Linked DNA regions of Oryctolagus cuniculus. Each later gene encodes a partner of the first gene's protein in a complex. Links are inferred from orthologs where the notes say so. Each region holds a gene or a part of one and is shown on either strand. Other genes may lie near its edges.

Region 1 (3,648 bases):
TATGGGATGCTGGCACTGCAGGCGATGGCTTTACCCATTATATAAGCCACAGTGCCAGCCCCAGAATACTGAATTTTCAAGTGTCTCATGAGACCATACCTATAAGGGGTCTTCAAAAAGCTCATGGAAATGCATATTATTGAAAATTATGCATAAATTTAAAACTTTTTACATCAAAATAAATTATCTTTTTTCTATTTTTCTATGAACTTTTTGAAGTATCCTCATATTTATGCAGAATGTTTTTCCCTAACATCAAACTGATCAATTAGCATTACAAAATACTTTAAAATATGAAAAATACTAAAAGAAATGCTTACTATTATCATCTATTATCATCTTTTCCCCTCTTAACTCTAGGACATCAAAGAACTGAAAACAATACAGAATAAAAGACCGGAAATTTTATACTCTTTTTAAAATACTAACTTACCTGTAGACATCACTATTTTAGACATTCTAGGAGCAGCATCCCTATCACCTGAATTGGCACTCTCTCTGATCAGCGTTTTTAAAGAAGTTGAAGATGTAGAACACAACACAGGAATGATTTTTTCCTGAAAGAAAAAAAAAAAGAAAGAAAACACAAGTTTAAACTACTTTTTAAAAACTTCCTAGCAAGAAATCCAGAAGAGTATAGGTATTGTTGGTTCACCAGATTTTGTTACAAAAGTCCTCAATGTTGGCATCCTTGTGTGTGTGTGTCACAACCTGCAGAACTTCCTCAACTGAGTCCCTCAGAGGCTACAGGCTACCCACGTCAGGGAAGTAGAAACAGAGAGGCTGAGACTCCTTCCTCTACTACCTGCTCCAACCATGCACACCTTAGCCACATTATTTCACCAGGTAAAACTGTTTTAATTTTTGAGGCTTCATGTAAGATAATTTTTTTCACACTGCTAAAGAAAAGTCTGTAAATCTTTAACCCAGATCAACACATTCAGTAGGGGGAAAAAAAAAACCACAGAAGAACAAAACTCAACAAGGCAAAGGACTTTTGACAGCAGTTGTTCATGTAGCCTTCCCTGTGTCTAGCCTGCACTTCTCCACATGAAATATAATAATTTTGACAAAATTACAAAGTGGTTTGCTAAAGTTCATACTTCAATGTTGACAGAATTTATTTGTAAATTAATGACTGTCATTTCAGTTCACAGTATCCTAATAGATGATGTTACTTTTAAGTATGGAATTATAATTATTGTGTTGATAATCTTATTATTTCAGTATTTTAAAAATCTGAAATCTGAACCCTTTAGCATGAGACATACCAAGATAGTATGGCTTACATTGACATTGCATATTGAATAAAAGGTACATTGATTTAGAAAATGTGCATCTATACTTCTAGAATCCTTAAGCTTAGGTGGGAAAAAGTGACAGTTGACAAAAGAATAATTTTTACTCTTGTTCAATGATTCTCTGAATAACTAAACTATGAGCATGGTAGTACTAAAATACGGATATAGGTAACTGCATGAGAATCTTCCTCTTTTCATAAGACATTGAAGCTAAAAAAAAGTGAACTGAAATGCTGTCTTTGAAACAAAAATATAATTATCAGAAAAAGATTAGAGTATTGTCCCTTCCCATTCCATACCACTAAAAAAGCAATGTTTTCAAAAAGATATCTTCAAAATTATTAAATTAGCATTCGAATTGGAATATAAAGGAGCCAAAAGAAATGATGTAGAGTTATCTCATACTTTCAACCATTAAACCAACTAATCACAAAAAGTTTTCAGCAACTGTAAAATATACATGCATGTTAATTTAAAAATGTACTTAAAATAGTATATTATTTCATTTTAAATTTCACTATTAATTTTTATTTATTTTTCATTTAAAAAAATCTCATCTGCTATGATTTGCATTAATCTGCTTGACTTTTTCAGTGTTTATAATTACATATTTGAAATACAACATTTAGTTTTGTTTACTTTTAGTTTATAAATTTTCATTGATTAAATAAAAATATCAGTATCAATATTTTTTAAATCAAAGTGGTGTTATTTTGTTTCATATTGTAAACATCAGTAGAAACACTATAGATACTGGTATCAGATGGCTAAACTCAAGAAATGTTTAAGGTAATACCTATGAAATTAAATTCAATCAGCACCAATAAAGCTGAGAAGATTATAGGCCTTTATATTTAGAGTACATTTCCTATACATAGGATGTATTTGGGTCTTTTTAAAAAATCATTTCATAATCTTTTAATTGGAAAGTGTATTTTAATAACTTGGAATGTGATTATTAATACATTTGGGCCTAGTTCTACCATTATTTGTTTTCTATTTATCTCTTCTGTGTTCTTATTCTTCCTTTCTTTTTGAAGTATTTGGATATTCCTTAGAATTCCATTTTAATTTATTTTCTTACTGGTTTTTTAACCTATACTTCTTGGTCATTTTTTCTTTTTAAAGATTTTATTTATTTATGAGAGGCAGAATTACAGGGAGAGAAAGAGAGAAAGGTCTTCCATTCGCTGGTTCACTCCCCAAATGGCTATGAGGGCCAGAGCTGGGTTGATCCGAAGCCAGGAGCCAGGAGTTTCTTCCAGTCTCCCACGTGGGTGCAGAGGCCCAAACACTTGGGTCATCCTCCACTGTTTCCCAGGCCATAAGCAGAGAGCTGAGTCAGAAGAGGAATAGCTGGGACACAAACCAGCACCCATATGGGATGCTGGGGCCACAGGCAGAGGCTTAGCCCACTACGCCACAGAGCTGGTCCCAATATATATATTTTTTTGATAGGCAGAGTGGACAGTGAGAGAGAGAGAGAGACAGAGAGAAAGGTCTTCCTTTGCCGTTGGTTCACCACCCCACCAATGGCCGCTGTGGCCAGCGCACTGCAGCCGGCGCACCACGCTGATCCGAAGCCAGGAGCCAGGTGCTTCTCCTGGTTTCCCATGCGGGTGCAGGACCCAAGCACTTGGGCCATCCTCCACTGCACTCCCGGGCCACAGCAGAGAGCTAGACAGGAAGAGGAGCAACCGGGACAGAATCTGGCGCCCCGACCGGGACTAGAACCCGGGGAGCCAGCACCGCAGGCAGAGGATTAGCCTATTGAGCCGCGGCGCCGGCCCCAATATTTTTTTAAAATATGTACTAGGGATTACCATGGACATCCTTAACTTTCCAGAGTCAACTTAGAATGCTGAAACCTTGCAATGGTAGAGATCCATAGGCCTCATCTCAGGCCTTTATACAGTAATGGTTTTATGTATTATATCTATGTATAACATAAAATCTTAGAAAAGTATCACTATGTTTCTGAATCTGTATATATAAAATACATGAAATCTGTAGACCTTAAAGAAAATTAAAAAACAAAACTGGAAAAAAAAAACCTGAAGTCAGTACCCATTCAACAGGTTAATGTAAGACAACAGAGTTATGAAAATAAACAAACAGAACGAGAGTTACAATCACAATATACAGTAGACACTCCCTCAATATTAGCATATTATCATAAAACTAAAAAACGAGAGGCCAGCACCGTGGTACAGGTTAATCCTCCGCCTGTGGTGCTGGCATCACATATGGGCGCCAGTTCTAGTACCAATTGCTCCTCTTCCAATTCAGCTCTCTGCTGTGGCCTGGGAAAGCAGTAGAAGATGGCCCAAGTACTTGGGGCCCCTAC
Region 2 (4,104 bases), on another chromosome or scaffold:
GTGGTTCTCCGCCTAGAACTTGGTTCTGGTTTACTACAGACAGGGCAGGGGAGCCAAGGCCCTGGGAAGACGCTCCAGGGTAGGCCGCGCCGCACCTACTCGGCCTCTGCTCTCGGCCCGCGGGCCAGGGGGGGCTCCCCACCCTGCCCACCTCCAGGCCGCCCTCCTCTCCCCGTAACGCCCCCGGGTGGCCTGCGGGGCAGGGCGGTTCGTGGGCGGCTCAGATGGATCCAGCAGTGCCGTCTGCCCGCCCCTCCCCCGGGGTCATCCACCAGTTCCCGGCGACTACACAGCTCTCTCGACTACACGATTTTCACCGACTTTATTGGCTCCGGACCCCCCTGACATCCAGCACAGTCAAGAGTACTGCGGGACGGCGACGAAGAGAGGCTTGGCGGGGGGAAGCCGGCTCCCTTTTCGGCGGCGCCAGGGTCACTTGCTCTTGGCCTTCTGACTCTCCGTCTTCTTGGGCAGCAGCACGGCCTGGATGTTGGGCAGGACGCCGCCCTGCGCGATGGTCACTTTCCCCAGCAGCTTGTTCAGCTCCTCGTCGTTGCGGATGGCCAGCTGCAGGTGGCGGGGGATGATCCGCGTCTTCTTGTTGTCGCGCGCGGCGTTGCCGGCCAGCTCCAGGATCTCGGCCGTCAGGTACTCCAGGACCGCAGCCAGGTACACGGGCGCCCCCGCGCCGACCCGCTCCGCGTAGTTACCTTTGCGCAGCAGTCTGTGCACTCGGCCCACCGGGAACTGCAGGCCCGCGCGGGAGGAGCGGGACTTGGCCTTGGCCCGCACTTTGCCGCCCTGCTTTCCACGACCGGACATGTTCACCTCTAACCTCAAACGCCAGCCAGGCCGGAAAAAAGCAAAAAGAAAAAAAGCCAAACAACCAACCGAGTCCGGTCCGCGAATGAAGCGAACCCTACCGGAACTGCCTACAAACTCTTTGCGGCCACTAGGTAGCGCCTTCCCATTGGGCGCCGCAACATCCGCGGCTCCAGTGGTCAATGATAGGCAGGCTCCGCTCCCAACCAGCGGGATTGCAGAGGGACGGCCTGCTGCAGCTGTGTCCAATCAAAAGAGCAAACGCCTAGTCCTCATTTACATAGCCGCCCATATGAATACTCAGGGGGGCCGAGTGCTCCGCTTTAGGAAACCAGGTGAATATAGCAGATGTTGATGTTTCTGTGTCCGCGCTCGCTCCCAGAGAAATAAACTCCTAAGAAATAAAGAAACGTGGTTGGAAACAGTCCAAGTCTGGAGGCAGAGCTGCTCTGTGCACAAGTACGAAGCGCTGGAGCCAGAGGTGCCCCCGCTGAGGCACACGTGTGCCAGAGGTTGCTGTGCTTTCGCTGGGAGGCCTTTTTTTTTTTTTTTTTTTTTTTTTCTGGAGTGCGGCGTCCTAGCCAAGTGGTTGCTGACTCCAGAGCCCGCGGTTCTGAGCAAAGCCGCTCACCAAGCAAAATCCTGCCTTGTGCCTTTATACCAGCTCCGTGCAGTGCTGGGGGTGCGGATGGGGGGCTGGCTCCCACAGAGGCCTCCTTGGTGCTGGGCCATCGGAGCTGTGCTGAGTAGACCAGATGACACTGCTGTGCCCACAAAGTTGCAGCTTTTGGGCTGCGAGTCGTTCAGTTCTAAGGGCTTTGGAACAGGAGTGGCAGACCGGGTGAGAATTCCATCTCCTGAAGGAGAGAACAGGGTCGCTTCGCTGAAACCTGCTCTCTCTTGTCTTCGAGGTTGTGGACCTGGGTTACTGGGTCGGACGGCTTGGCTTTGGCCGGCTCTGTGTAAGTCACAGCATCGCGGGTCACTTCCCCGGGAAGAATCCTTGCAGTTGGCTCCAGAGACTAAAGGAAAAACAGCAGCAGCTTGTTCCTACACACCTGAACTGCAGACCCACAGCCTTTGTTTGTTGTTGTGTTTTTTCTAATTCCTTGAGGTAATTTCGGCGTTCTCCACAGGAACGCTGCTACTTGATGCGATGTTAAGGCACATACATACTAACATAAGCATTTATTTGGGGGCTGGCATTGTGGCCCAGCCATTAGGCCGCTGCTGGTGATGGATGCCAATTTGAATCTCAGCTAGTCCATTTCTGATCTAGCTGCCTAACGGGCCTGGGAAAGCAGCAGATGATGGTCCAAAGGCTTGGGCCCCTGCCTCCCAGGTAGGAGACCAGGATGGAGTTCCAGGCTCCTGGCTTTGATCTGGTCCAGCCCTGGCTCTTGTCAGTTGGAAAGCCAACTCACAAACGAAAGATCTCTTTCTGTCTCTTCCTCTCTCTCTGTTGCTCTTTCAAATAAATAAATCTTTTTTAAAAAAGTATTTTTGTGTGAATTTTAGTATCCATTTAAGTTAAAAACAAAACCTCTTGCTGCCCTATTAACCATTTGATCTCTCTGAAATAGTTTTCAAGTACTCTTCTCTGTTCTTACATCCTCGCACAATGATTGCCCCAGTAGTGGTGATTTAATAAATGTCTCTGAGGCTGAGAAGCAGCCTGTTTTGGTTAAGATGGTCATCCTGGCGCCAGACTGCTTCCATCCAAATCCTGGCTTTTGTTAGTAAAATGGTGCCGTCTTATCTGTGGCACCATCTATGCCTGGGACACCCTCCTAGGCTCTGGCTCCCACCTCCATTGCTACAAGCCAGGTGACCAATGGCCCAACCACAGGTGTCAGCTCCACCCCAGCCCTAATGGGATTCACTGCTCCTACTTCCCTGGCCCCTAGAAAAGGTATAACAGGGCCTGCTTCCTGTACACACACTTGTGCTCTCTCTTGATCTCTCTCTCTCCTGATTCCTCTCCCTCTTACTCTCTCCCCCTCTCCCCCAGCCTGTCAGGATTCTCCCACCAGACAATAAAACTTTCCCTTAACTCTGGTGTTTGATGTCTTTTGCGGCGGCCTTACAGCTTTGCTATTTATCAGCTGAATTTGGATAAGTTATTAACTTCCCTACCTATCTCAAAGTGTTGTTTGGAAAATAAAATACATTTGCGAGCATCTAATATCTCTTAAATGTACAGAATAAATGGGCATACAAAACTCTGATGTGGTTTATAACAAGATGTCCCTGGAATGAGTTCTGTAAACTAGCTTAAATTTTTGTCTATATCATGGGAAACTTCTAACAGATTTTGTAAATTACTACTTGGGCCACATTTTTCCTTTTTATTCTTGTAAGCAAAGATTTCTAATTTGAAAAGTTCTGATTTGATATTTTAGAAGAGTAAATATAAAAAATCAGTCAATTTGCAATGATAATTCTCATTTCTTCAAGATCTGATAAGCTTTTCCTCCTTTGAGTCAAGGATTAAAATTATGTAGTAAAGTCTCATTATTCAGGATTTTGTCCAGCCATAACAAGCATTCCAAAGGCTCTTTTAATTCATCTTTTTTTAAAAAAATTTTTGACAGGCAGAGTAGACAGTGAGAAAGAGAGAGACAGAGAGAAAGGTCTTCCTTTGCCATTGGTTCACCCTCCAATGGCCACCGCAGCTGGCACGCTGCAGCCTGCGCACCGCACTGATCCGATGGCAGGAGCCAGGTACTTCTCCTGGTCTCCCATGGGATGCAGGGCCCAAGCACTTGGGCCATCCTCCACTGCCTTCCCGGGCCACAGCAGAGAGCTGGACTGGAAGAGGAACAACCAGGACAGAATCCGGTGCCCTGACAGGGACTAGAACCCGGTGTGCCGGCACCGCAGGCAGAGGGATTAGCCTAGTGAGCCGTGGCGCCGGCCACAAATATTACAAATTCTTACCTTTTCTGCAGGAAAGGCTTATCTTCAAGACTAGGAACACTGAATCCAATTTTCTAACTATTCATTCCTCAAGATATTAATTAAGCACCTGAGAAGCAGTTTTGAATCATCTCCTAAATATCCATGCCTTTTAATGGGAGTCAACCTTTGGTGAGAGTACTGTCTCCTTAAGCAAGACAATTAACCGAAACTTTCGTTTGTATTCAGGATTTCTTTTGAGAAAGGATTAGTGGCCTTTTAACTGATACGTGAGGTATAAATCTCTTTCAAAACCACACTTGTGGCATCCACTTATTTTACAACTTTTAATTTTTAAGTGGAAGATGTGAGAGCCTTGGATCT

What was found.
Region 2: the proteins of SCML2 (region 1) and H2AJ are in contact, whole or in part, in a crystal structure (PDB 4EDU), measured with the Homo sapiens proteins. The link is inferred for Oryctolagus cuniculus from reciprocal best matches to the Homo sapiens genes SCML2 and H2AJ. Residues at the interface, in NP_006080.1 of Homo sapiens: Asp182, Asn185, Tyr187, Leu188, Cys190, Phe206, Trp209, Phe213, Pro239, Pro240, Gly241; in NP_808760.1 of Homo sapiens: Leu35, Arg36, Lys37, Gly38.

The regions. Positions count from the first base shown.
Region 1 is NC_091453.1:4,445,063-4,448,710, forward strand, and holds part of SCML2 (sex comb on midleg-like protein 2), read right to left. Parts: intron 558-3,648; coding exon 434-557; intron 1-433. UniProt on the Homo sapiens protein: Putative Polycomb group (PcG) protein. PcG proteins act by forming multiprotein complexes, which are required to maintain the transcriptionally repressive state of homeotic genes throughout development.
Region 2 is NC_091440.1:112,556,279-112,560,382, reverse strand, and holds H2AJ (histone H2A.J), read right to left. Parts: upstream 2,830-4,104; 5' UTR 823-2,829; coding exon 433-822; 3' UTR 304-432; downstream 1-303. UniProt on the Homo sapiens protein: Core component of nucleosome. Nucleosomes wrap and compact DNA into chromatin, limiting DNA accessibility to the cellular machineries which require DNA as a template.